Linked DNA regions of Callithrix jacchus. The protein of the gene in region 4 interacts with the protein of the main gene of each other region in a biochemical or structural test. Links are inferred from orthologs where the notes say so. Each region holds a gene or a part of one and is shown on either strand. Other genes may lie near its edges.

Region 1 (4,353 bases), on a different chromosome or scaffold from region 4:
ATCCATGATCCCCAGAGCTTTACAGAACATAATCTACTGAATTTCCACAGCAGCCCTGCGAGGGAGGGACGATTATTATTATTTTGAGACAGAGTCTCGCTCTGTCACCCAGGCTGGAGTGCAGTGGTGCGATTTCGGCTCACTGCAACCTTTGTCTCCTGGATTCAAGCGATTCTCCTGCGTCAGCCTCCTGAGTAGCTGGGATTGCAGGCGTGCGCCACCACGCCCGGCTAATTTTTGTATTTTTAGTAAAGACGGGGTTTCACCATGTTGATCAGGCTGGTCTCGAACTCCGGACCTCGTGATCCACCTGCCTTGGCCTCCCAAAGTGCTGGGATTACAGGCGTGAGCCACCGCGCCCGGCCTATTATCCCATTTTAAAGATAAAGAGACTGATGGCAGAATTGCAAAATGTAATAGGGAACATCCCTTTTTCATGCATTCCACAAATATTGGCTTGACGCCCGGGAAGTTCATCTTCCAGGATCCATACTTCCGGAGGAGTCCCAGAGGAAACACCTCTTCAGTTCAGAGGAGTCAAGGGTGACAGCGGTGCCCTCTCCCATCACTACTATTTCCCCTTCAGGCGCCCTAACTGACATTTGATTTGCAATCATTTGCACAATGCGAAGTGACAGGCTTGAGCTGCACATAGGACCAGGCCGTCTTCCCTCTCCTGGGGAATCAGATCACAGAACCAAAAACAAGTTGTATGGACGCGCGCGTTGCCTGCAGATTTTCTTCACCGCCAAGAGAAAGAGCACGCGCTCTCCAACCCCGCCTCTTCTTCCGGGAGGACGAATTGCGGGCCTCCGATTGGGGTGAGGCGGGCCACGCCTCCTCACAATGTCCAATCAGCTCCCTCGCTGGGTGCGCTCCCTCCTCAGCCCCGCCTCACCGCCCCACGTTACGTCGCTCCTAGTGGCCTCCTCCGTTATCCCGGGGGCTGCGGCTGGCGCGGCGGCAAACCCACCTCCACTTGCTTCCCATTGGTTGGTCAGGTCCCGCGCGAGCGGGATCGCGCCCTTCGCCCCCCACCCCCAAAACCGGGCCATGCCTCTCTCCTTTGGCTTTCTCCAGGAGCCAGCGCGAGGCGGCAGATCGGCTCCTTGAGGCGCGCGCAGGGACGCGCGCTGCTCTTGCAAGCCACTGCCTCCGCCCCGCGACAGCAGCCGCGCCGGCTGGCAGCCCCCCGCGCACGCGCACTCGCCCACCCTGCTCCCTCTGCTCGTTTGCAGGTTGCCTCGCGCTCGGTCTGGCTAAGGCGGCCGCCGCAGTAGCGGCATTTTTGGGGGACGCACGCGCACTGCACCGTCCGCCGCCGTTCCTGGCCCCAGGCAGTGGCGGTGGCAGTGGGATCCCTCGGGTGCGCACACGCTCTGACCTCTCCCCATTGCCTCGCGCTGGTTGTCCCTTCGGGGCGCGCGCTCAGGGGCCGTTATACCCCTGCAACGGTCCCCGGGCCGCGCACGCGCAGTAAGGAGGGGGCACGCGCGCGGGAGCGGCCGTCGCAGGAAGGAGGCGCCGCCGCCGCCATTGCGAGGGAGGGAGGGAGCGAGCGAGGCTGGTCCGCCCTCCCCCTGGTTCCCGCCCCTCCCCCCTTCCCCTCCCCGCCCCCCGCCCCGAGGGAGAGCCGCGGCGCGGCGGGAGGAGGAGGTGGAGGAGGTGGAGGAGGCGGAGGAGGGAGCCCGCGAGGGAGGGTCTGCCCGGCCCCCCGCCGCCGGAGCCGCCGCCGCCGCCGCCTCCGCCTCGGCCGCTGCTGGACTAGGAGCAGGGGAACATGGCGCCGGGGCCCCCGTCGCCGCTGCCGGGATCCTTGAGGCCGGGGCCACGCTGAGGGCGCCCAGCTGGTGAGTGCGCGAGCTCGCGGGCCCCGGGCGGCGAGGCCGGGCGCCGCCCCGCTGCGGGGTCCAGGGGGAGGCGGGGACGGCGGGGCCCGGAGCCCGCGAACAATGGAGGAGCTGGAGGGGGAGGGGAGGAGCGGCCCCCCAGTCCCCCGGGCCCCGCGGTCCCGGACTCTTCGCGCGTCGGCCCGGCCCGTGGGGCCCTCCTGCCCTTTGGACTTGCCCCTGCCCGCCCAGCCTTGCTGTCCCCGCCGCCGCCCCCACCCCCTACCCGTTGAGATCTCGGTGTCTGCCTCGCAGCCTCCCCGACTTCAGCCAACCGGCTCCCAATTCTGCGCCCCCCTTCCCTTTTCCGCCCCTCCGTGATGCCCTTCGCTCTTCGCGGGCTCTGCACTGGCACCCGCCTTCTCACTGACCATTCTGCATCCCTGAATTGTGGCTCCCACTTTCGAGATCCTTGACCCTTCTGCCTCTTCTCGATTCTCTTCTCAACACCCTTCAGATCTGTCCTCGGCCCCTTCTTTGACCTACCTGCTATGCTATTATTACTGTCTCAGAATCTGTTGCACCTTGGGAGCTGTCCCTTTAGGACCTGCGGTTCTAACCCCTTGGAGATCCATCGGAGACCACTGTTCGGCTAAGCACTGCTGCCCCAGGTCTTCCCCTTGGACTTAATGCCGTTCCCTCGTGGGTCCTACTGCTCGAATTTCTGTCTCTGCCCTTTCAGCGTGCTGCACCCCGGAATGCCCCTTGGCTGCCTCTCTGACCCCTCCGTGCCCCAGTTCATTCCCTGGATCCCCTCGGACTTGGCTGCACCGTGCTTGCCGCCTCCACTTCTCAGCTCTTGCTCCCGTTTGCCATTCAGACCCTTTCCTCTCTTCCAGACCTTTCCGCCTCTCAGCTCTGCCCCTTGCCGGACCTCAGGTCTTGCTGCGCTCCCCTCACCTGATTGCTTTCTGACTTTGCCTTCCCGGGGAGCAGCCTCCTCCCCCTTCTCTGACTCTGCAGGTCTCCCATTTCTGCCATTCACTTAACTGATCTCTCCGTCACTCAGTCTGCCTTCAGTTTCAGCCCCAGTGTTCTCTTGCAGGTTTCCTCTCCTCCCCACCTCCTTTTTGGCACTCCTCTGAGCTACTGCATTCATTTGCTACTCCTTTCTTTGGCCTGTCTCTCCTTCGGTTCTCTGTCTAAAAACTGCTTCCTGTCCCCTCTTTGCTCCAAGTCCTCTCTTCCCCGTTTTGGCCCTTAGACGTGCCCTTTAATCTCACTGTACCCTGTTAACTCGGGCTGCATCTCCCAGACCTGCCTACCCACCCACCCCCATCCTTTTTGCACCTGCACTTTCTCCTCTTTTTTTTTTTTTTTTTTAAATTCTGCTCCATCCTCTTTATTGTAGTGTTTGCCTCCCCAGCTCTGCCCCTTTCGGAGCTGTCCACTTGCCCGCACATTTTTAGACCCGTTTTTCACTTCTCTTGCCGTTCTATCTCGGAGTGGTCCTTTAACACCGGGATTCTTATCACCGTGTCCTCCCCTCCGTTCCCTCCCGAGTCTGAGTTTTCCCCCTTGGCATTCTCTTACCCCCACCATTTTGATTCAGCCCTCAACCTTCACTGTCTGCTTTCTTTGCCCACCCTCCACTGCCCTGTCTCTTCGTGGAGTTCTTACTCTAATTCTGACATTAAGATGTCTTCTTAATCATCCTTTCCTATGTATCCCGGCCCCCCCCCACCGCCCTTTTGGAGCTGCCTCAGCGCTGTGATAGATTCTCACTCCCTTTTGATGTCCCTTTCCCAATTCTGTTTCTCCTTGACTTGTTACCTTCCTCACCTTTTTTTTCTTTCCCCTGTATCCTGCCAGGCTTCTCTTCCCGTGTAGTTCCTATTAGACCTGCTTCTCGCAGCTCACCTGTGGCCCACCCATTCCCCATAGAGCTCTTCCCCTTTCAGGCTTGTCTTTCTCTGTTCTCCATCCCTCTGCTGCAGAGGCCAAGAGACTAGATTGGGCCTTAGGTTCTCCAGGCTCTGAGACTGCAGATTCTCTCTCTGCACCCTAACCCTGAGGGTTCTATCCCCAGGGATCCTGGGAGATCTGGGTAAATAGGTGGGGATTGGTTGATTGTTACTGCTCTCTGGAGTCTGGGAGTGTCTCCCCCATTTCTCCCACTTCTACCAAGGTTAGTAGTGTGGAGGGAGGTAGCACTCTTTCCGTTGCCCCATTTTCTTTCCTCTGCTGTTTGCTCTCCCCCTTCCGTTCTCTGGGCTTTGCAGCTTTGTGTCCTTTGGAAAAGGGAAATGCAGCTGCTCACAGATCTTTCTTCTCTTTCTCACTTTCCCTCTTTCCGTCTCTGAGCCATTGCATCCACCCTCTCTCCCCTTCCACCTCTAAGCCAGCACCCCTAGGAGTGTACTTTTTTATTTTTTCTTCCCAGCTAACAAGTCATTTTGTTTTTCCTCTGCTGGGTAAATGCCAGTGTGCCCGTTCTTAAATTCTCCAGATCCCGCCAGGGGTT
Region 2 (3,600 bases), on a different chromosome or scaffold from region 4:
CTTCATCCCCTCCTTCCTCCCTACCGTCCTTCTTCCCTTCCTTCCTGCCTTCCTCCCCCCCCCCAAAAAAAAAAAGAAATAGAAGATGTAAAAATTGTAAACATACATGAACCTAGCAACAGAGCCCACAAATATATGAAACAAAAATTTACATAAATGAAGGGAAAATATAGACAGTTCTACAGAAACAGTTAGACATACTACAATACTTCCAATAATGGAACCAACAGAACATGATCAAAAAAGAATGAAAGAAAGAAAAATAGTAAGTGTCGGTGAGGATTTGGAGATACTGAAACCCACTTTATACATTACTGTTAGAAGTATAAAATGATATAAATGCTGTGAAGAACAGTTTGACAGTTCCTCAAAATCTTAGACATAACTGCCTTATGACCTAGCAATTACACTCCTAAGAATATACCCCCAAATTAAAAACAGATGTTCAAGCAAAAACCTGCACATAAATGTTCACAGCAGCACTACTTACAATAGTCAAAAAGGTAGAAAGAACCCATATGCTCAACAAACACATCAACCAAATATGGTAAAGGTTGAGTATTCCTTACCTGAAATGCCTGGGCCCAGAAGTAGCTTAGATTTTGGAATGTTTATATTATACATACCAGTTAAGCATCCCCAATCTGGAAATCTGAAATCCCAAATCCAAAATACTTCAAAATGAGAATTTCCTTTGAGGATCATGTTGGGTGCACAAAAGGTTTTTGAATTTTGGAATATTCCCACAAGCGGAATACTATTCAGACATTCAAAGTGACTGAAGTACTGATACACACTGTAACATGAATGAAGCTTGAAAACAATATGCTTTTACTGATTGAAAACACTAAGTAAAAGAAGCCAGGCAGAAAAGGTCACAAATCATATAATTCCTATCATATGAAATATCTAGAATAAGCATATCTGTAGAGACAGACAATTAGTAGCTGCTAGCAGCTGGGAGGAAGGGGGAAGGGGAGTGACTGCTTAACAGTCATGCGTTTCCTTTTGGGGTGATGAAAATGCTTTGAAACTAGGTAGTGGTGATGGTCACACAACATTGTGAATATACTAAATACTTCCAAATTTAATAAAATCAAAATGGTTAAAACAATAAATTTTATTCTATGTGTATCTTATCATCATTTTAAAAAAATTATGCACAGGTTTGTCTTTCAATTACTAAACCAGAACCAAATATAGACAAAAATACACACAAAAAACAAAGGATATACAGCACATACCTGTTAATGCTGCTGGTTTGGATAGTGTACTATATTGATTTTGTGTAGATATCATACTTTGACGTGGACTTAGTGTTGGTGATGCAACAAGTGAAAGTTCTTCAATAATAACACTGCTTTTGGGATGATTCTTGGGGAGTTCATTTAATCTTTGCTCTAATGAATACTTTAAAAGGTCCAACTTCTGACTTGATTCATTAAATCTTGCTTGAGCCTTGCACAGAGAAAAGACAATTGTTGTCACTTAAATAATCACATACTTTGAATAATGCATTTATTAAACCAAATAAAAATTTTTATTTAAAATTACTTCTGAAAGTGCTTTTCTGTCTGTTACTTTTCCTGAGCCAAGTAATTTCATTACATTCTTTGCACCTTCTGCTACTGCAAACTCTATCCTAAAATGATGCCTTAATTCTTCCATCCGAAGTTCAAGAGGACTTATCACAGGTTTTGCTAGAAGGGAAAAAAAAATTTAATTGCACCATTTATTGGCTTTCCAATTCGTAGTGATTAAAATTGTGAAAAGAAATAAATTATTATAACATTACAGTAAGTTAGTTCCTACATCAATAAACACTAAAATAATAATAGTTGATACATGTTAAAATTCAGAGCCTTTCATTTTTGTCATTACACATCTAAATTACAAAGCTGAAAAAAAGATTTTAGAACTGAAAGATATCCAAATATTGTAACATCGGGAGACTGAAAGTTTCTACTCCTACTCTTAGCAACTAGCTGTAAAGATTTCTTCTGGAATTAAACAAAACAAAAGAAAACAAAGCCATAATCTTAAACAGGAAACAGAATTTAAAAAAAAAATAAAGACTGATTAGAAGTATTTGATAATCTATTTAAATGAAGAGATACTTTCTAGATCAATATCTTCTTGAAACATAAGGGCCAAATATCTAAAAGCCAACTAAATATCCAACTAAATAGTGTAAAACTCAAGATGAAAAAAAAAAAATAGTAATAATAATGCTTCCTCCCCCTTAACTGTGAACCACTGCCCTGTTCCTATATAAGATTATTTAGCACCATACGCTCATAAGGAGAAGGACAATTTATTCCATCACCATTATCAAAAGCCAATTCATTAGTCTGGACTGCCTGAAGAATCTGCATTCGTATTACTTCTATTTTTGTCTTGCTGTCCTGGAGCAGTTGCTGAGCTGTACCATGGAGTTTCCGATCCTATTTAAAAAATAAGTTTGAAAAGTAAAGCAAATAAAGGGACAAATGAAACATTTTCATATCTTCTAAACAGATCAAGTGATATATCAGCAAGTGAAAAACAGCATTAAAAGAACTGTTAGCATTATAATATATAATCTTATAGATTTACAAAAAAAGAGCCATAAAACTTACAGGGTAAAGTTTGTGGAAAAACAATTCCATTAGTTAAGACAGTATGGAAGAAAAGTAAATATTACGGCTATGTGTTTTTTAAATTTATTTTTTAATGTATATATTTGTGGTGTACATGATATTTTGGTATATATACACATACTGAAATGATTATTACAGTCAAACAAATTTACCAATCCATCACCCTCTACAGTTACTCATTTTTATGTGTATGGTTTTATGTGTACCTAAAATCTATTCTCTTAGCATATTTTCAGTATATAATATTAACTACAGTCCGTGCTATATATTAGATCTCTGTACTTACTCATCCTACCTAACTCTAAATATGTACCTTTTGACCTACTTCTCCCCATTACTTCTATTGCTGGTAACTGTATTTTACTCTCTGTTTTTATTTATTCAGTTTTTTTTTTTTTTATTCCACAGATAAGTGAGATCATACAGCATTTCTCTTCCTGTGTCTGGTTTATTTCACTTTGTATAATGTCCTCTGGGTTCACCCATACTGTCAATGTGGCAGTATCCCCCCGCCCGCTTCTTTTTTGAGATGGAGTCTCACTCTGTTGCCAGGCTGGAGTGCAGTGGTGTGATCTTGACTCACTGCAATCTCCGCCTCCTGGGTTCAAGCAATTCCTCTGCCTCAGCCTCCCAAGTAGCTGGGACTACAGGCGTGCACCACCACACTTGGCTAATTTTTTATATATTTTAGTAGATACGGGGTTTCACCATATTGGCCAGGATGGTCTCGATCTCCTGAACTTGTGACCCACCTGCCTCAGTCTCCCAAACTGCTGGGATTACAGGTATGAGCCACCGCGCCTGGCCAGTATCCCCCTTTTTAAAGCTGAACAATATTTCATTGTGTATATACACATATATACGTGTGTGCATGTGTGCGTGTGCGCGCGCACACACGCAAACCCTGCACACAGTATCTTTATCCATTTATCTGCTAACACATATTGTAGGTTTGAATCTT
Region 3 (3,600 bases), on a different chromosome or scaffold from region 4:
CCCCTACTCCAAAAGTATGGTTCCAACAATCACCACTTCATTAAAAGCAATGGCAGCAAGAATTTGCTATTCTAACACATGCAGGTTTGGAACAGGATTTGCCTCACATTGAGGAAATCATTATATAAAGTACTTTTAAAAATAGAATATACTAGTTTTTTTTCCTTTTTAACGTAGAACGTAGTAAACTTGCTAAGTTTAAGGAATTTGAAATGCATAAAGAAGCTACAGAAAGGGGGAAATCTTATGTGATCCCATCACTCAGATAACCACTCAATATTTTCTGTGTATGGTCATTTTTTTAAGTACATCAGTTTTGAAACATTTTTTTTTAAAAAAAGCTCAGAGTTTAACTATAATGAAGCGATAGAAGACCCAATACATACAGTATCCACACTAAACTGTTATGAAGATCTGGATCTACTAACTCCATGTCATCCAAAGTAATTGACTTCCCAAGCAACTGCTTATAAAAAGGCAATGTGAAACCACCATCAATATAATGTCCATGAAACACAGCCATCCCCATTATTCGTCCAACAAAGTGGAAATAGGATAAATGTTCCTGAAATTGAAAAGAGCATATATACTTGAGTCAGAAATTACTCAGGAAAATTTTAATAAAAATGAAATATTTCAACATTAATATTTTGAGAGTAAGCATCAAATCTGTACTCTTCAATATAGCCAGGAGGGAGTATTTCTCTAGGGCATGCTCAGGAGTCTCTAGATCACCAGAGAACAACATATTACACAGGGTAATAGGCCCTTCTCACAGTCATTCTGTCAATTTTATCTTTTAGAAATTAAGTCCAAACTATGGTCCCCCAGCGCTTCATTCGGCTACTTGGAGATCCTTTTCTCTTCCTTCTCTCACCTCCTGCTGAGCCCTTGCTATGAAAAAAATCTTTCAATCCTTAACCTCCCTACTTCCTTGGCCTAACAAGAAATTAAATATCAAAACACCATAGATTTAAGAGCACAGATTTGGTGTCAGACTTGGATTAGAATCATGATTCTACTAGTCACTGGCATATGGACAAATTAACTCCTGTAGGACTAACTGTCCACATCTGGAAATAGAATAACAGTATCCATCTAAAAAAGCATCTCTATGAGGAGTAAAAGGTGATGTTTGAAACCCATGCAACTGGACCTGGCATAGGTAAGCACTCAATGAGTGTGGGCTATCATCACTGCAGTGGCAGCAGTGGGCCCTCCAAGCAACCTTCACCTCAAAATCCTCCCTAAATAATTTTCTGAAAGAAATCTAACATTTCTACCCTGTTTGCATATATTGGTCAGTCGTCACAGATTGTTTTGTTAGATGTTTGTATTTTTAAATTATTTTACCCATTTACTAAGTAATCTTTTAAGCTCCTCTTTAAACCTTTTTATCTTAAAAAGTTTTTCTTTTTTAAACACACACACACACACACACACACACACAATTTACCAAAGTTGCATTAAACTATTTCATAACCTTCTTTTCACTTACATCATAAACACCATCTTTCCATATCATTAACTATTATCTCACATTATTATTTTAGTGACTGTTTAGTATGCCCTTGTATGGAAAGACAAAATAATACAAAAAAACAGTACATTAGTAATAACTGCTAACTTCTGTTGAGTGCTTAATAATGTAGTCGATAGAGTTGTGGAGTTAATAACATACAGCACTGTGCTAAATGCTTAATGTACAGCGTCCCATCTAATTCTCATAACCCCTCTCCCAGGTACAAACGTATGTATTAGCAATGACAAAATTGAAGCTTACGTCCATGAACTTGCCCTGACAGGTCACAAAGCTAGTAAGTGATGAGACGATGACATGTCTTTCTAATTCCAGAATCTACGACTTTAATCACTTGCATTATTCTGCTTCATGTCATAATTTAATCAGTCTCCCCTCTTGAAGACAAGTGTGTTGTTTTCAGTTGGGGGCTACTATAAACAGTAAACATCCCTGTTTCCAAACTGTAGCATACATCCATAATCATCTGCTTGGGAAAACTTTGTAGAAGAGGAGTTGCTGAGTCAAAGGGTACAACTAGGACAAGGACAAAAATTTCTAAATAATAAACTATGTTAACATGTAAAGATGAAAAGCATTATAGGTCATAACTTAATTCACATCATCATAACAACAAATCATACCGGATTAACAGCAGAGTCAGGATTGATCTGCAATGTATAGATATCATCTCTTGAATATTGGAAGAGGCCATAGTATGGATTCAACATTTCATGTGACAAGAGATACAACCATTCCCTAGAAAACAAGATATGATCATGGAATTTTTTTGATAATGTATATATTTCTGTTAAGATAGGCCATTAATTAATCATTTTAGAAATAATTTTTTTAATCATAAAAGGCAAAAAAGCACTAAGTACAGTTATATAAGACCACATTGGGAAAAATCTACCATGCCCAAACAGCAAATAAAAACTCTACTTCATTACACTGAAGTAACATCTCACTCAAAATTTAAGCAATTTTATTATATTTTAGTCAGAGTATAACAGTATTATCCATCAGTTCAACTACTCACAAGATGATATAGTCTGGTGATCTGTTACTTTTTCCTTTTTTTTTGAGACAAAGGTTCCCTCTTGTTGCCCAAGCTGGAGTGCAATGGTGTGATCTCGGCTCACTGCAACCTCTACCTCCCAGGTTCAAGCAATTCTCCTGCCTCAGCCTCCTGAGTAGCTGGTATTACAGGAGCACGCCATCACACCCAGCTAATTTTTTGTATTTTTAGTAGAAACAGGGTTTCACCATATTAGCCAGGCTGGTCTCGAACTCCTGACATCAGGTGATCCACCTGCCTTGGCCTGGTGCTGGGATTATAGGCATGAGCCACCTCGCCCAGCCTGGTCTGTTACTTTTAATTGCCAAATAAATTTGTAATCCATAATAAACAAAACAAAAGGAAAAATATGGTTTTATTTCAAAATGTCTGTGTGAAGCTGGAGGCAATGGCTCACACCTGTGATCCTAGCACCATGGGATGCCAAGACGGGTGGTTCGCTTGAGCTCAGGAGTTTGTGACCAGCCTGGGCAACAAGGCGAAACCCCATCGCTACAAAAAATACAAAAATTAGCCAGGCTGGTGGCATATGCCTATAGTCCCAGCTACTTCGGAGGCTGAGGTGGGAGGATTGCTTGAGACCCGGAGGTCGAGCCTGCAATGAGCTGATATTGCACCACTGCACCCAACCTGGGTGACAGAGTGAGACCGTGTCTCAAAAACAAAGTGTCTACATAATCTGTACTATCCAGATCCACTATCATGGCAGAGTTATACCACGATACTATATAGACATATACTATAGTATTGATTTACTCTTAATTTTGGACAAGGGTATATTTTGTTGTAGTTTGTTTTTGTTTTTGTTTTGAGACAGAGTCTTGCTCTGTCACCAGGTTGGAGTGCAGTGGCGCAATTTCAGCTCACTGCAACCTCCCTGGTTCAAGCGATTCTGCTGACTCGGCCTCCCGAGCAGCTGCAATTACAGACACATGCCACCACGCCCAGCTAATTTTTGTATTTTTAGTAGAGATGTATTTTCACCATGTTGGCCAGGATG
Region 4 (4,010 bases):
GAGGCGGAGGTTGCGGTGAGCCCAGATCGTGCCATTGCACTCCAGTCTGGGTAACAACAGTGAAACTCTGTCTCAAAAAAAAAAAAAAAATCCAAACACTTAATAAAGCCATGATTAGGCAAGCCAGGGACCTTTGTACATTCATCTAGCTCCCGCAGTTGAAGGCAGGACCATCCACTCAACAAGGGGAGAACGCTGTGAAAGAAAGCTAATGAACTGAAATTTGTTTGGCAAATGAATTTTTCAGATTCTATTCATTATAGTTTTGTTTTTCCCCAACTGGAAAATACCCCTATTCCATTCACTACAGACTCCAAAGCTTTCAGACGGGCTCCAGCGGGTTCAGGGTGGTATGGCCGTACATCAGACCCCTAAGCTTTCAATACAGTCTTTTACTTACAGTTCTGAATTTGAACAGAATAGAATTTCTTACAGTTCTGAATTTTCAGAACTATTCACCATCAACAAGGTATAAAAGAAGAAACGCTGGGCCGGGTGCAGTGGCTGAAGCCTGTAATCCCAGCACTTTGGGAGGCCGAGGCGGGTGGATCATGAGGTCAAGAGATTGAGACCATCCTGGTCAACATGGTGAAACCCCATCTCTAAAAATACAAAAAATTAGCTGGGCACGGTGGCGCGTGCCTGTAATCCCAGCTACTCAGGAGGCTGAGGCAGGAGAATTGCCTGAACCCAGGAGGCGGAGGTTGCGGTGAGCCGAGATCGCACCATTGCACTCCAGCCTTGGTTAACAAGAGCAAAACTCCGTCTCAAAAAAAAAAAAGAAGAAACACTGGAATAAGCTGGAAGTCCTGATTTTCAGCTGACTCTGCAGGCCAACTGATTGGGAGTAAATGGAAAATAATACCTTAAATGAGAAGACAGTTGTGGTCTGCTCCTGACTAGGTACATAATCTTGGGAAATTTACTTAAGTCTCTGGGACTCACTTTGCTCATCTGTGAATGGGGTCTGACACCATTTGCTGGACACCCAGTCCTGAAAGATTCCTCTTCGATCTAAAATTCAAGAACTACAAAGTATTCCTACTCTCTTCTTCCCTCCAACACAGATTTTTATGAGATCAGAGAGCATAAGTCTAGCGCTAGGGCCGGGCGTGGTGGCTCACGCCTGTAATCCAAGCACTTTGGAGGCCAAGGAGGGCAGATTACCTGAGGTCGGGAGTTCAAGACCAGCCTGACCAACATGGTGAAACCCCGTCTTTAAATAAATGAATAAAATAAGTCTAGCGCTAGACTTTAACTCAAACCAGGGTGCATCTTATATATTTAATGTCTCCAAGAGCCAGTAGTGCTCCACAAAAGTAGATGGAACCAATTAAGATAAGTTATCCAGAGATCCTTCAAGAAGTCATTCTTTACCATTAAAAACTAGCCTTTTTTCAGTCCAATGTCACTTGTGCCAATTGCTCAAAACAGTATCTCCGACAGTCTAGCCACATCTGAGGTGACAATCATCCACGTGGTACACATTACACATCTGGGTGGATGACACCAAGTGGCTGAAAAATTCCCACTACATACAACATTTGAAATTAGGGAAGTTTTTTGGTTTTTCAATTTTTTCTCCTTCAGAAAGGCAAAATCAAACATAATCGGCTTACACACCTGCAAGAAACGTTTATTTTAAAAGACTTTCTTCGAGACAAAAAGAACCAAACAAGTCAACAGAAGTAAATTTAAAATTAGAACTATTAAAAAACACAAGTATAACCAACTCTGAGGTAAAAAGGATTCTAATTTTTCACCGTAAACTATTAAACATGGTTTGTGAACAAATCAATTTGGATGTAAATAGTGCCATTCAATGAAGACGACCTGTAACTGTAGACCAATCAGTAAGATACAAATGTTTAGGTGATTCCTAATCAATACAATGACTTAGACTAAGCATACTGCATCTATTTTCATGCAACATCGCTTCAATCATTTACAGGTTTTTTTTTTTTCCAACTGGAAAATAACCGCTTTTCCACTCAACACATACCCCAAAGCTTTCAGGCGAGTTCGGGTGAGTTCGGGTGATAGACAAGATCCCTAAGCTTTCAATACAATCTTTTACTTACACAGTCTTCAAGAAGTCTGCATTAAAAGAAAACCTACCCAAAGTATAACTGAATCTCAATCAATATAAAACGGTGATTCACGTTTTTTCGTTAAATGCAAAAGGCAAATGGAGTTGTAAAGAGTTTCTTTCCCATTTCAACTCCAACAGCCACGCGCGCTTTCAGCGACCGGCCACACTGCGCGGTCGCGGGGCCCGGCCTAGAGCCCCCGCCCTGCCCGGCACTGCCGGGAGAGGAAGCGCCGGGGACCGAGGGCGGGCGGGCGGCTTGGGCTCCACCAGGCCAGGCCGGGCGGGGGAAGGGGCACTGGAGACTACGGGGCGCGCTTCCGGGGACTGCGCGGGCGGGGTCGCCGCTTTGGGGCGCGGGGCCGGGGCTGGGAGTCAGGTCAAGGGTCAGGGGCCAGGGGTGGCTGGGCCAGAAGCAGCCGGTGGGGCGCGGCCGCGGCGGGGCGGCGGCCTGAGGGCCGGAAGAGTGCTGGGCAGGCCGGCCTGGGGCGCCGCGGCGCCTGGAGGGAACCCTTCTGCTCACCTCAGGCAACGAATCCGAGTCCAGCCTTTTTGCGCCGGGGACGCCGGTCCGCGAGTCGCAAGCTCGGAGACGAAGACGAGCAGCTGAAGACGAGACCGTAGACTAACGAGGGAACCGACGGAGGACCGCGGGCAGCGGGAGGGGAGCGCGAGAGAGCGAGGGCGGGCGGCGGCGGGAGGGCGGGGAACGACGTGCGCGTCCCCGAGTGCCCAGCGGGCTCGAGCCGGCCCCGTTCGCGGCCCCGCGCACGCGCGCGCACTCACAGCTCATCCACGATTGCTCAGGAGCGCATCCACGCCCTAAAAGCAAAACGCTTAACCAATCATTGCAGCCGCGTGGGGCATCACGGGAACTCTGGGGCTATAAAAGACCTGGTTGCTATTTTATACTCCCGGAGTCGCTCAACCCTTAAGCAAGCTGGGTGGGTCTAGGTGCGCCTGCGCCGTTTTAATACTCCGCCTCAAACTGCCAACTCTTCACGCATGCGAAGTAGTCCCCTCCCTGCCTGAATTTGCGCGTGCGCACTGACGGGCCGGGCCCTGGAAGACCGCACGCCTGCGTCTTGGGGACTACGGTGACAGTACCCCAGGTGGGGCGTGGGCCAGTCATGGCGGAACCCTGGTCTGGGCAGGCCTTGCAGGCTCTGCCGGCCACGGTGCTGGGCGCGCTGGGCGCTCTGGGCAGCGAGTTCTTGCGGGAGTGGGAGGCACAGGACATGCGCGTGACCCTCTTCAAGTTTTTGCTGCTGTGGTTGGTGTTAAGTCTCCTGGGCATCCAGCTGGCGTGGGGGTTCTACGGGAATACGGTGACCGGATTGTATCACCGTCCAGGTGAGGCTCCCTACGAACCTCCGTGGGCTGGCTGCCCCCGCCGCTACCCTCTCTGAACTGTACCATTGGGTTCCCCACTATCCTGCAAGAGGCTCATGAGATTTTAGCATTGGTTCACGGCCTTACTACCCTGAATGTATTTGACCTCGGAAGCTAAGCAGGGTACTTCGATGGGAGAACCTAACGTTGTACCCTGACTCCTGCCACCATAGCATTTTACGCCAGAATCCCCACCAGTCCACCGATCGCATTGTATCTATTGCTCGGAATTCTCACCTGACAATACCATTAGTCCCTTAGGACCCTCACCAGACTCCACCAAACAATACCAGTGGCCTCTAACCTGACCTGGGCTGATGCCTGCTCAGATCCCCACCCCAGCCTGCTGCAGCCCTGGATGTGTTTTTGCCTCCAGGTCTGGGTGGTCAGAATGGATCCACGCCTGATGGCTCCACGCATTTCCCTTCGTGGTGAGTAAATCTGTCCATACTGCACCCCCATGCTTGGCGTTCCAAGGACTATCCTGTCCTGGTGACAGATAGGGGAGTTCTCAGGCTATAAACCCACC
Region 5 (4,355 bases), on a different chromosome or scaffold from region 4:
TGGTATCAAAAGCACACCAGCAGTCTCACCCACTCCACCCACCCACATATACATACACAGACATAAAGAGAAGTGGATTGCAATGCTCCTCCTTCTCTTTCATTTCCACAGAGTTCTCATAAAAAGAGCAACGAGTAAGACAGAATATTCTGATGCCTTGAGACAGGTTACATTTGGCAATACAAGGGTTAAGCAGCACTACTTTCCTAGAAACCTTCCAATTCCTAGCTACTAATGCAATTTTCCTCATTACCTGAGCTATCTAGTTTTAAAAATTCAGCAGATTAAGGGTTAAGACTAACACCGAAGAAAGAAAAGAGAACTTGGTTCAGCTCCACCCTCTCTAAAGCAAATACCAACAACCCTGAGCCAAATCCACTAAGCATACAGAAGACACCATGGACATTCCAAAACAGGTGAAAAGAGGCTTAGCTTCCTCAGGTTTCTCACCCTGCAGCACCACACACATAGTAGACTTCACAACTGGTGAACTAAACAATTGTTAGATAAAAATAAAACACACAGAAAAGTCTACTCAAGACTGGAAAACAAGTCACAGAGGTCACCACGAATCAGCAGCGATAGCTGGAATTCGGGTGAGGAAGGTCAAACAGTACCCATGGAAACAAAATCAAAACAAAAAGATAGAGAAATAGAAGGAATATGAGCCCTAGAACTTAAGTTTTGGAAGGAAAGCTAACCGACAGGTGCGGGGGCGGGGGGTCAATGCTGTGTTAGACACCAAAGAAGGAAGGGGTGTCAATACTCTTAACCCTATTATTTCTAGGGGGGAAAAAAGGTGTTCATCATATAAAAACAGGTGGTTACTGACAGCTCAGATGTCACTGGGGACAGTCCAGGAGCACTTGGTCTTACTAGGAACAGGAAGAGATGAGTCACGATTTTAATTCTGTTTAGAATTAAACACCTAACCCTCCAGGGTTAACATCTCAACCCTCTAGGTCACGAAACAACATTTTCTTCCAGTTTCTATCACTTTATCAGTTTTCTTCCCAAATTTGTGGAGCTGGATCAAAATGTTGGGAGGTAGGACTAAGAGAAAGAGGTAAGAGTTACAAGCCATTTGTTTAGTAGAAAGATACACTAGGCTAAGGGCATAAATACCTGGAAGAGGAGACAAAAGAGCTACAGTTATAACCAGCTATTATAATGATCATCAATATCCAAGACTCTTTTCCTCTTCTGGACAGTGCCCCATATCTTCCAAAGCTTTTATAGCAAAAAGCAACCAAACGGCTCCCTGGAGAGAAGCGTTGATGTGGGCAAAAGGTAAGGAAATACGATAGGGTTCCATGAATATCAATATTCCTTCAGACTCGGATTGAAAGTAACTGGCACTTGAGGAACGCAAAGGGATACCAGTAGCCGCTTTGGGGAACAAGAGGCGGTAGGAAAGGAGTTGAGGAGATGGTTATCACGGGAAATGCAAAAAAAAAAAAATTCAATTACAAACTTCTTGAACTCGCAGTCCAACTTTCTTCCCACAGGAGAGATTTATCATCATCCTAGGTCAAGAAGGGCTTAGCGTTCTAACCCTCTGAAAAGTGACAAGCAACAGGGCAAAGAGACAGGTTCTCTGGATAGAGGAATACTGTTAAGCAAATAAACGTCATGCCCCAGTGGCTCTAAGACCTGGGCAGGAACCTGTTCCCGTAATGGCAAGGATAAACGTCCAGAGGAGGGTGGGGTGGGTAGGGCTCAAGTCAGGTAACATTCCTGAGGGGAAGGATTATCAGGTGACACCGGGCTAAGGGCCCAGGGGGACTGGGCGGGACGAAAGTTAGCAGGTAAAAAGGATCAATCATGGAGAAGGAAGTGACCTTTAGGAGAAGGAAATACGAGAATACCAAAAAAAGGGGTAAGGGTAAGAAGAGAAAATGGACCCAGAAGAGGGGACCAAAAAAGAGGAGGCGTGTTCGGGTACTAGAGGAAGAAGAAAGGAAGTGAGGCTGAGAGGGGAGAGATGGGGCTGAGAGCCGGCCGGGGCTATGGGGGCGGGAGGGCAGACGTGCGGGCTAGGGAACGAGGGAAGCCCCGAGGTGGCCGGGGCAGGAGCAGGGTGAGACTCCGGGGCTTCCCGCTGTCCAGGAGGCGGAGGATGTCGGGCTGCAGAGCCGCAGACCAGCGAAACGAGGAAGGGAGGCGCGGGGGCGGCTCCCCAGAGCCGGGCAGACGCCCGTGGGGCCGGCTGCAGGGGTCCAGAGGGCGGTTACGGGGCCGGTCAGGAGTAGTGTGGGAGGGACACTCACAAATTTCTTAGATTTGCCGCCGTCGCCGCCCGCCGAAGGCAGCTCATCTGGGCTTCGGCCCTTCTTCTTGTCCCGGGTACCGCGGCCGGGCCCCAGGCCCCCGCCGGGTGGCTCCATGTCCCGGTTCACGCTGGCCGGTGACCCCGCGCCTACGCCGCTCCCGCCCGGCAGCTCAGCACCCGCCGCCGCCGCCCAGCCACTCTTTAGCCAGCCACCGCGCCCCGCCTCATTAGCATGCCGGGCTGCGCGCGCCTCATGAATATACAACGATGACGCCTCGCTCCCGCCCGCCTGCCCCACTTCCGCCCGGACCCGCAGCCCCTACCAATGGGGGAAGGGAGAGGGGTGGAGGGAAGCCGCGGAAGCGCGCTACCTGCCCGACGGACCTAACCATTCGGACCCACGTCGCGGGGTGGCGAGTGGGAGGTGCAGCTCTCCGCGGCCACGGCAGGGAGCACCGCCCCCTGGCGGTTGGAGCAGGGCAGGCCTCTCTGCTCCCACGGTGCGCCCACTTGGCTGTACAGCCGGACAGCTTGGACCCTGTCACACCCCAGACCAAAAATAGCATGAGACCATTATCCTGGCAGAAAAGTAGTGCCAGGCTTTGCATAAGAATGCAGTTTTTAATGTGTGCAATACCCATGGAACACATGAAAAAATTATGAAAGTGACAGCTCCCATGTTTTGAAAGCAATGTGCCAAGAACAGAGCTCGGTCCAGTGCAAGCACTGGAGTAAACCAGACTCGCTCTGGAGTTTAATTTCCTACAGAACAAACTAATTATTGCCAACATGTACCTAAACAGCAATAACAGTTACCACTTAACCATGCCCCTGATGTCTTCTAGGCACTATGCAAAACACTGTACATGTATTTTTCTAAGTCCCCACAGTCCCATGTGATAGATTCCGCTAGGCTCACCATTTTATAAATAGTAAATTTGGACTTTGAGAGTTGAAGTGACTTGCCCAAGAAGGCATAATTGATATAAAATTTAAACCCAGCTTAGTCTGATTTGCTGCCAAGCCCTATGTTTAACCAGAATTCCCCACTGACATAAACCAAACATGAAAGAATGGGTGTTCTCCAAAAGTATATTCTTTGCTCTTCTAGCATGACTTTCTCCCTGAGCAATTTCATCCACTCTCCTAGCTACATCTATCCCTGTGTGACAGTTATATGGCTACCAGCTGGCCATCACAATATGGACTGAATCATCTTGACCACAGCTAGCAAGATTTCAAGTGTAAGTTACTCAAGGGCAGTCAGTGACTTACTCACTCTAGGGCCCCAGTGCCTCGTCAAGGGCCTGAGATATACCAGGGACTCTGCCAGGCTGGCTGTCTCCTAAATCTGACATTCATCTCTCTTATGGTCCAGAGCTTCTAACAGTGACCTGATAGAATGTTACATAGAGTTGTCCATCCCATACTTCAAACTTGACTTAGTGTTGAGCTTTCCAGGCCTTTTGTCCAAAAAGTTCAAAAGCTACTTTCAAAGCTGTGTTGAGAACAGACAGAATCAGAGGATGGAGGGGAGGAAGTGATCCATTTATCACCCTTCTTTCTTGTGCCAGTCTATATCTGCTATAATATTTATCATACTACTGACTGGATTGTAAACTCTTCCAGAGAAAGGTTCATGTTTGTGGCTACTAACAGTACTTAGCATTGTTGTTTACATAGATAATGGGCAACTTTTTATGTCAGGCCCTGTGCTAAGCACTTCACATGTTTAATCTCAGTGTATCTTCACCAACTAGCATCACTACTCTCAACAACCAGATTCAAAATTGAAGTCATCAGGCTGGGCGTGGTGGCTCAAGCCTGTAATCCCAGAACTTTGGGAGGCCAAGGCAGGTGGATCATGAGGTCAAGAGATCGAGACCATCCTGGTCAACATGGTGAAACCCCATCTCTGCTAAAAGATGGGCATGGTGGCACATGCCTGTAATCCCAGCTACTCAGGAGGCTGAGGTAGGAGAATTGCCTGAACCCAGGAGGCGGAGGCTGCAGTGAGCCGAGATTGCGCCATTGCACTCCAGCCTGGGTAACAAGAGCGAAACTCCGTCTCAAAAAAAATAAA
Region 6 (3,600 bases), on a different chromosome or scaffold from region 4:
ACAACAGTAATGCCTTAGGACAGCAATGATAACTGCCCAGAACTCCAACTGGTGAAATGGGGCTGTGTACTAAGTGGTTATTGCGGGAACTTGCAGTCTAATAATAGATAACTCGTAGCTACTTAAATAATTCCCAGGGACCCTGTACTCTGGTTTAAAAACAGAAACAAACATGTAAATTTATGTCCATAATAAACTATGTGTGTCTATCCAGTCAAACCATGCTGGGGTTTTTTTTGTTTTTTTAATTAAAGAAAGTTGGTAATTTAGGAAAATCAATGGTATAACATGTTTTACTAGAATTACAATTCACCAAATATTATTGAGGAGTGGAAGAAGAAGAAAACCTGAAGGCGGGCAATGCAATAAAAGCATGGATATAGTTTACTGGTGCTAACAAAGTTCACTGGCAATGAGAACTTAACTTTGTTTCACCTAAGAAGCTTCCTTAAATTCGAACTTTTAAAAATTCCTTCTGTCATAATGAGCCTGTTCATTGAACTGTGAGGAACAAGGATGAAAAAAATATAAAGAGTATGGTTTAGCCTGAGTCTAACTGGTCTGATGTTTTATGATGACACTACCAAATGTTTAAAGTCTTAATTTCTTATTTTTAATTATAATATTGCTAACTGTCTGACTGACTGATCTTGAAGGATCAGGGATTTTTCCATTACTCTAACTGAACACAAGATCCTTCTCAGATGGGGAGAATGAAGTGAGAACAGTGTGTCGATCTGGGCAAGTTGTGCAGCTACGGAAGGAGAAGCAGGAACACAACAGGGAATGCAGAAGCCTACCAGGAAATCCATGTGAACTGCTCTCAATTTCTCAGCAAATACTAAGAAGAAAGGTCAACGCTGAATTCAGATTCAGTGAAAGGCAGTCCTCAAGCTCTTTCAAGCTAGCCCTAGATGGCAAGTATAGCCTGTGACAAATTTCTCTACTAGGTTTCAGCACAGGGCTTTACCATCCTTCAGATCTTTTTAAAAGACAAAAATGACAAGTCTATAGATGGAAGAGGTGGTAATGAAGCAGGGAAGGGGAAAAAGATGGTGATTTGTTTACTTTTATTATCTTTTTTAAATGTTGTCAGGAGTTTTATAGTATTTTTTGTTTTTTTAATCTTTTTGCTTATTGAAAAAAATAGAACAGTCCACTGTCCAGCAGAGGCTGCTTCAACTCTATTGCTCCCAGGGCTCATTCTGCATGGATCTGTGTTTCAGGATGCTGCAAGGACAACTCTGTGGGCAGGAAGGCCCCTTGACCCAAAGCCGTAGCATAGGTCCTGCTCTGTGGATGAGGAAAGCCAGGAGGCACATACGTCCCCCCCATGCTGCCCCCTCCAAAGACTCCTCGCTGGTGCTGAGGCAGGGAGTGGTAATCCTCCAGGTTATCATACTGGGACACTACAGTCACACTGCTCTGACGCTTGACGTGTGGTTGGTATTGGTACAGCATACTGGGGTCCCTCTCCACGTTCTGGGTATGATGGAGTTTGAGGCTATGACTCCTCTCTGGTTTAGGGGGTGGGACCATTGACTGAGTGAGGTGTTCTTCCTCCTTGTAGCAGTCTCTGGAGTGTTTCTCTGGGGCAGAAGGCTGCCTAGCCCAAGGCCGTTCCATCTCTTTGGAGAGCCTCACCTCTTTGTGGTTCAGTCTTAAAGATTCTTGCCCAGATGCAGCATATTTTATTCCAGAGTTATGGTAGCCAACTGGCTCAGAAGTGTCTGGAATCCCTTTGGAAACGTAATCTAACTGGCCAGCTCCCTGGGGATACGGGGGCCCATTTTTTGACTCACAGAACTGCCTATGGCTTGCTTCCTGGTGTGCCCTGTGCTCAGGGAGACTGCAGCCCATGTCGGGAAGCTTCCTGCTCCTCAGGCTGCTCTGCTTCTGAGGAAGGGATGGCTTCTCCGGCTGCGTGCTACCATGGCCTCCGTGGTGGTGAGCTCTATCCAACTCTGCCTCAGGATGCCTCCTATAGAAGCGGTCCTCTCCCTCGGGACTGATGGCCTTGGCTGTGTGGCGGCCCTCCTTTCCTTCTGCCACTGAGAGAAGTCCAGTTTTCCCAGGATCTGATTTACTCCGCAGATGAATGACGTAGATCCCACCCAAGTCATCCTGCACAGCTGGGGTCATATTATCGTATTGAGACATGACAGGCCCTTTCACTTTCTGCCGAGCACGGCTCTCTCTCCGGATGGACTGCATGCGATATTTTTCCATGTCCTCAAGATCCCATGAGGTGTAGGTGTGCTTTACATCAGCAGCCGGAGGAATGTTGACTACATTATGGTCGTTGGGAGAGAAATAGCCAGTTGCATTGGCCCGGGGACGTGGAGGCAAACCAGCGTAACTGTACAAGTTCTTTCCCTGCAGTCTAGGATTGTAGAAAGCAAAATCTCGACTGGGAAGGCGGTGAAGGGGTCTCAACTGGACTGTGCCATAGGCATCCACATCACACAGAGCCCCATCTGGACTGTAATAGGAACTAGAAGAACTAGAATATGGGCTATATCTGTAGTGGACCCGGCCATTCTCAAAGTAAGGCTGAAGCTGAGTTACATGATAATCTGAGCGGGCCTGGGAGGACTGATATGGCTTATATTGGTACAGGGGTCTTGGGCAGTAGGCTGGCTCATCATCTGGGGGAACTTCTGTCCGTGAAATGGGAACAGAGCGAATCATGGAAGATGGCGGGGCATGGAGAGACTGCACTCTCCGGATGGTAGGGTACGGCGGAATGTCTTCAGGATAACAGGCATTCCTAACAGAGGAGCTCAAAGAAGACACGTACTCGATCCGGCTGCATGGCTTGGAGTGGTGTCCAGATGCGTTTCTTCCTGGGGCCACGTATGTGTTATAACGAAGACCCATGGAGGCTGGTGGCTCTGACCTGGCACCATATACTTGGTGCTGCTCCAATTTATTGTGATGTGGAGGTACACTCTGGGGACGGTACTGGCAGCTTGGAGTCATATTGAAATGCAAACAGTTTTCTGGACCAAAGGGTTCAGCGGCGACATCAGGCCTAGCAAAGGAGGAGTAAACTGTTTTCTGAGAAGCATGCTTAGGTTGTGGGACAGGAACTGGTAAAGGCAACACATCATCCACAGAGGCGGATGAAGCAGTGACAAAGGAATGATAATTTGAACTGCTGGTGGCATCTGTACTGCTGGAGTGTATGGCAGCAGTCATCTTATTCTCCATCGTCCTGGTCGGGGGCAGTGGTGCAGGAAAGCCACAGGGGTGCGCAGAGACAGACTCGGCACGCAGGTGCAGCAGTGGGGCCCGTGCACCGTCCCGCACTTTCTCAGGCAGGCCTGGCTGGACAGCTGTAGCCATGTGACACTGAGCAGCAGCTGCACCACCGTCACTGATGAAGACAGATGCAGGATCATCCATGGCTCGAGGTTCAAGTGGCCTCTCTGGAACTGGAACTACTCCTTGAACCTATTGAAAGATGATAATACTATGGTCTATGTTTTGTTTGCTCTATGAATCAAGTACTAATAAATTTGTAACTCACAAATTGAGGCTGGTTGGGTAGCAGATTGAACCAAGCCATGTGGTTGTAATGAATCTGTACCCATTGCT
Region 7 (4,297 bases), on a different chromosome or scaffold from region 4:
CGGATCACGAGGTCAGGAGATCAAGACCATCTTGGCTAACACGGTGAAACCCTGTCTCTACTAAAAATACAAAAAATTAGCTTGGCGTGGTGGCACGTGCTTGTAGTCCCAGCTACTCAGGAGTTTGAGGCAGGAGAATTGCTTGAACCTGGGAGGCAGAGGTTGCAATGAGCCAAGATCACACCACTGTACTCCAACTTGTGTGACAGTGCGAGACTCCATCGCAAAAAAAAAAAAAAAGCATCTTTCTTCATTTATTTTTCTTTCTTTAATAAAAGGACAAACTTGGCCTGGTGCAGCAGCTCATGCCTGTAAACCCAACATTTTGGGAGGCTGTGACAGGTGGATCACTTGAGCCCAGGAGTTAGAGACCTGCCTGGGTAACATGATGAAACCTTATCTCTACAAAAATACAAAAATTAGCCAGGTGTGGCGGCCCGCACCTGTGGTCACAGCTACTCGGGAGGCTGAAGTGGCGGGATCCCTTGAGCCCAGGAGGTCAAGGCTGCAGTGAGCCATGATTGTGCCACTGCACCCCAGCCTGGACCACAAAGTGAGACCCTGTCAATCAATCAATCAATCAAACAACGAACAAACTTTAGTACAGAAGTATAAAGTGTAAGAAATATGAAAAGATCTCCCTTCTGAGGCAAGTTCAGCTATCAACTTCTGCAATGTCCTTTTTCCAATACAATCAGTACATATATAAAACTCCAAATAGGGCCGGGCGCTGTGGGTCATGCCTGTAATTCTAGCACTTGGGAGGCAGAGTCAGGTGGATCACAAGGTCAGGAGTTTGAGACCAGCCTGACAAAAGTGGTGAAATCCCATCTCTACTAAAAATACAAAATTAAGCTGAGCGTGGTGGCACGCACCAGTAATCCCAGCTACTCGGGAGGCTGAGGCAGGAGAATCGCTTGAAACCAGGAGGCAGAGGTTGCAGGGAGCCTAGATCGGGCCACTGCACTCCAGCCTGGGCCACAGAGTGTGACTCTGTCTCAAAAAAAATAAAACAAAACTCCAAATAGAGGGCCAGGTGCAGTGACTCACGCCTATGACCCCAGTGCTTTAGGAGGCCAAGGCAGGAGGCTCACTTGATGCCAGGTGTTTGATACCTGCCTGAGCAACATAACAAGACCCCATCCCTACAGAAAATTAAAATCTTGGCCGGGCATGGTGGTACAGGCCTATAGTCAACAGAAGCCCTTGTTTCAAACAAAAGAGAATTTCTCCTAAAATATTATCCTTGGTCCTATAATAAAAGCAGACAGGGCGTGGTGGCTCACACTTGTAATCCCAGCACTTTGGGAGACCAAGGCAGGTGGATCACTTGAGGCCAGGAGTTTGAGCCCAGCCTGATCAACATGGTGAAACTCCATCTCCACTTAAAAAAAAAAAAAAAAAATACAAAACTTAGCCAGGCGTGGTGGCAGGTGCCTGTAGTCCCAGCTGCCCTGGAGGCTGAGGCAGGAGAATTGCTTGAACCTGGGAGGCGGAGGTTGCAGTGAATCGAGATTGCACCACTGTACTCCAGCCTGAGCGACAGAGTAAGACTCTAAATAAATAAAAGCAAAGGTGAGTGACAAGGAGGTTCCAAGGAAACACACAGGTGAGCAAAGTTGGCAGGTGAGGCTGTTACCTGGAAGAACAGATTCAGCCTGGAGGCCCGGCTGGCAATGGGTTCAGCAGCACCAGCATCCAAAGGATTCCTCGCTCCATATTTGAACTTCAGCATCTCCCCACTGGTGCTGAAAGGATGTCGGAAAAGCCAAGTGTGTCCTATGGTTTGGGCAGGAAGAGCTTGAGAGACCCTGATCTCCCTCAAGATATCAGGGGCAAGGAAGTGAAAATCAGCTACAACTCCAGTTTTAGGAAGCTCACTCTAATCATAGAGATTAAACACTAGATTTTCACTCACCATAACAGGAGGTGATACACTTATCTGACATACTTTCTTTCTTATAAATGTGTTTAATATCTCCCTCCTTAGAATGGAAGGTCCACAAGGGCAGAGATTTTTACATGGGGGCACACATACTCTGGCACATAGTAGGTGTGAATAAATAATTATTAAATGAATGACTGAAATAAGCAAACTCTACAGCTTGTTGGAAGGTGTTAAGTGCTATGGGGTAAAAACAAAACCAAGCAAAATAAGGACATGGGGGTGAGATGGTGCCATTTTTAGTGTGATCAAAGAAGACTTCACTGAGAAGCCACCATTTGACCTAAGACTTGAAGACCGGATGTGGGTGACCAGCAAGCCGTGAGGATATCTGGGGAAAGAAAGATATCCCTGGCCAAAGAACAGCCAAGGCAAAAGCCCTGAGACAGGACCTGGACTCTCCAATAGAAATAGGGAGGCCAGAGGGACTGGAGCAGAGCGAAAGAGGTGGGGGCATCAAGGAGGTGATGGGGTGGGCATGGGGTATGAAGACAATGAAACAGAGAGGTTAAGTAAATTGCTAAGATCACGCAGGTAATAAGGAACTGGCTGACTGCACTGGGCAGAATAATAGTTAGCGCTGACAGGAGGCAGAGCTGAAGAGATACAGGACTCCGCCCGCTTTAGGGAAGGAACATGACTCCCGCCCCAGCACCACCCGGCGGACCCCTCGGCTCCCAAGGAGGGTGGGCGCGCGCACAGACAGCCCGGGAAGACCCTCTAGGCCTCCAACAGCCCTGAAGGTGGAATCGCCGCCTTTCCAGCGACGGAAGGGAAAGCCAGGACTGGTGTGAGTGGAGGCAGCCCTCCCCTGGCCTTGCAGAGCGGGTGAGGTAGAATTAGGGTTAGAGGATCATACTCACGCTCAGCGGACCCCGCTGGTGTGCAGTGTACTCCGCCCCGCTCCTCCCGCCGCCGCGTTTGAACTCGACGAACGGCGCGGGCGGGTCTCCGCCGTGTCTGGACCAATCACCATGCCCATTCCTATGATAGACGTGGGCGTTTCAGCCAGGCCCCGCCCATGTCCTTAAAGGGACGGAGGAAGTGAAGGGGAGAGCCAATCACTTGTTTTTTCCTTTGACTCGCGACCAATGGGAAAGGGGGAAGGGCAAAGCCCGCAGGGCAGGTCTTGGAAGTTTGAAATTGGCGGTTACGCAGGATGCTGCGTTTGGGTACGCGACAGTTTATCTAAGATCCCTGAGGAGGTCGCCAGGGCGCTGTCCCCTGCCCTCGACCAGCAGCGAGGAGGAAGGCAGCCAGGCCTCTCTGCCTGGTCTTCTTGTCTCTCTCCTGTGGCTAAAGTAGAAGTACTTGTTACCCGGGAAAACCCGGTTGTTCTCTGCTACAGCTGAGGCAGCCAATGTTTTGAGCTTGACTTCAACTTGCCTTGATTACTGCATCTCCCAGCTGACTGCCGTGTAAGGAATTGATGAAAGTCATTGAGACCATTTGAAAGGACACTTTGAAATAAATTATATGCGAGATACTTAAACAGGCACTTCACCAAAAGGGAAATCCAGATGGCCAAGAAACGTATGAAAGGTGTCAGCCTCTTTCATAATCAGAAAATATGAAAAATAAAGTCACAGTGAAAAACAACACACACTCAAATTCGAAAACAAAAGGATGTGACAGTGTGTATGAAGATGTGGAGGTACACTCGCTTATACAGTACCCGGAGGCATGTAAATGGATACGATCTGTTTGAAATTTGAAAAAGAAAAGTTTGGCATTATTAACATTGAAGATTTGTGCATTCTGTAACTATTGCTAGGAGTAGTTTCTCTACCTAACAGAAACTCCTATTTATTTTATTTATTTATTTATTTATTTAGAGATGGAGTCTTGCTCTGTCTCTCACGCTGGAGTGCAGTGGCATAATCTCGGCTCACTGCAACCTCCGTCAAGTGATTCTCCTGTCTCAGCCTCAAGAGTATCTGGGACTACAGGCACCTGCCATCATGGCTGACTCATTTTTGTATTTTTAAGTAGAGAGTATTTTCACCATTTTGATCAGGCTGATCTGACCTCAAGTGATCTGCCCCTCTTGGCCTCCCAAAATGCTGAGATTACAGACCTGAGCCACCATGCCCGGCAAGCAACTCCTACTTAATGTATGTACACCAAGAGATGTGTATAAGAATACAAAATCGTGTGGCAAAAAACTGAACGCAACACAAATGTCCATCAGCAGTAGAAAAGACAAAATTGTATATTGCAGTGTTTTCATACAGCAATAAAAAAGAATAAATGGCAACTAGCCACAGACATAATGAGTCTCAAAATAAGGCCTAATGAAGGAAGCAAGACAATGACGTATGATTCTACTCATATAAATTCTCAAAGCCGACA

Evidence for each region.
Region 1: the proteins of RHOA (region 4) and ARHGAP35 form a complex in vitro, tested with the Homo sapiens proteins (3 studies listed by BioGRID). The link is inferred for Callithrix jacchus from reciprocal best matches to the Homo sapiens genes RHOA and ARHGAP35.
Region 2: the proteins of RHOA (region 4) and PKN2 form a complex in vitro, tested with the Homo sapiens proteins (2 studies listed by BioGRID, with this or other methods). The link is inferred for Callithrix jacchus from reciprocal best matches to the Homo sapiens genes RHOA and PKN2.
Region 3: of the proteins of RHOA (region 4) and SMURF2, one has a biochemical effect on the other in vitro, tested with the Homo sapiens proteins (3 studies listed by BioGRID, with this or other methods). The link is inferred for Callithrix jacchus from reciprocal best matches to the Homo sapiens genes RHOA and SMURF2.
Region 5: the proteins of RHOA (region 4) and protein diaphanous homolog 1 form a complex in vitro, tested with the Homo sapiens proteins (2 studies listed by BioGRID and IntAct, with this or other methods). The link is inferred for Callithrix jacchus from reciprocal best matches to the Homo sapiens genes RHOA and DIAPH1.
Region 6: of the proteins of RHOA (region 4) and ARHGAP32, one has a biochemical effect on the other in vitro, tested with the Homo sapiens proteins (3 studies listed by BioGRID). The link is inferred for Callithrix jacchus from reciprocal best matches to the Homo sapiens genes RHOA and ARHGAP32.
Region 7: the proteins of RHOA (region 4) and CIT form a complex in vitro, tested with the Homo sapiens proteins (2 studies listed by BioGRID, with this or other methods). The link is inferred for Callithrix jacchus from reciprocal best matches to the Homo sapiens genes RHOA and CIT.

What each region holds. Positions count from the first base shown.
Region 1 is NC_133523.1:40,832,106-40,836,458, forward strand, and holds the start of ARHGAP35 (rho GTPase-activating protein 35), read left to right. Parts: upstream 1-1,535; 5' UTR 1,536-1,850; intron 1,851-2,122; exon of another isoform or gene 2,123-4,353.
Region 2 is NC_133508.1:125,999,024-126,002,623, reverse strand, and holds part of PKN2 (serine/threonine-protein kinase N2), read right to left. Parts: intron 2,445-3,600; coding exon 2,294-2,444; intron 1,701-2,293; coding exon 1,555-1,700; intron 1,459-1,554; coding exon 1,245-1,458; intron 1-1,244. UniProt on the Homo sapiens protein: PKC-related serine/threonine-protein kinase and Rho/Rac effector protein that participates in specific signal transduction responses in the cell.
Region 3 is NC_133506.1:89,826,436-89,830,035, forward strand, and holds part of SMURF2 (E3 ubiquitin-protein ligase SMURF2), read right to left. Parts: intron 2,279-3,600; coding exon 2,164-2,278; intron 566-2,163; coding exon 387-565; intron 1-386. UniProt on the Homo sapiens protein: E3 ubiquitin-protein ligase which accepts ubiquitin from an E2 ubiquitin-conjugating enzyme in the form of a thioester and then directly transfers the ubiquitin to targeted substrates.
Region 4 is NC_133516.1:32,003,057-32,007,066, forward strand, and holds the start of RHOA (transforming protein RhoA), read right to left. Parts: upstream 2,801-4,010; 5' UTR 2,613-2,800; intron 1-2,612. Other genes in the region: TCTA (T-cell leukemia translocation-altered gene protein), read left to right, coding at 3,220-3,442, 3,858-3,912. UniProt on the Homo sapiens protein: Small GTPase which cycles between an active GTP-bound and an inactive GDP-bound state.
Region 5 is NC_133503.1:40,050,019-40,054,373, forward strand, and holds the start of protein diaphanous homolog 1, read right to left. Parts: upstream 2,854-4,355; 5' UTR 2,839-2,853; coding exon 2,644-2,838; intron 2,448-2,643; exon of another isoform or gene 2,388-2,447; coding exon of another isoform or gene 2,271-2,387; intron 1-2,270. UniProt on the Homo sapiens protein: Actin nucleation and elongation factor required for the assembly of F-actin structures, such as actin cables and stress fibers. Binds to the barbed end of the actin filament and slows down actin polymerization and depolymerization.
Region 6 is NC_133511.1:28,684,600-28,688,199, forward strand, and holds part of ARHGAP32 (rho GTPase-activating protein 32), read right to left. Parts: intron 3,457-3,600; coding exon 1,201-3,456; 3' UTR 1-1,200. UniProt on the Homo sapiens protein: GTPase-activating protein (GAP) promoting GTP hydrolysis on RHOA, CDC42 and RAC1 small GTPases. May be involved in the differentiation of neuronal cells during the formation of neurite extensions.
Region 7 is NC_133510.1:122,984,684-122,988,980, forward strand, and holds the start of CIT (citron Rho-interacting kinase), read right to left. Parts: upstream 2,869-4,297; 5' UTR 2,809-2,868; intron 1,780-2,808; exon of another isoform or gene 1,749-1,779; 5' UTR 1,736-1,748; coding exon 1,640-1,735; intron 1-1,639. UniProt on the Homo sapiens protein: Plays a role in cytokinesis. Required for KIF14 localization to the central spindle and midbody. Putative RHO/RAC effector that binds to the GTP-bound forms of RHO and RAC1. It probably binds p21 with a tighter specificity in vivo.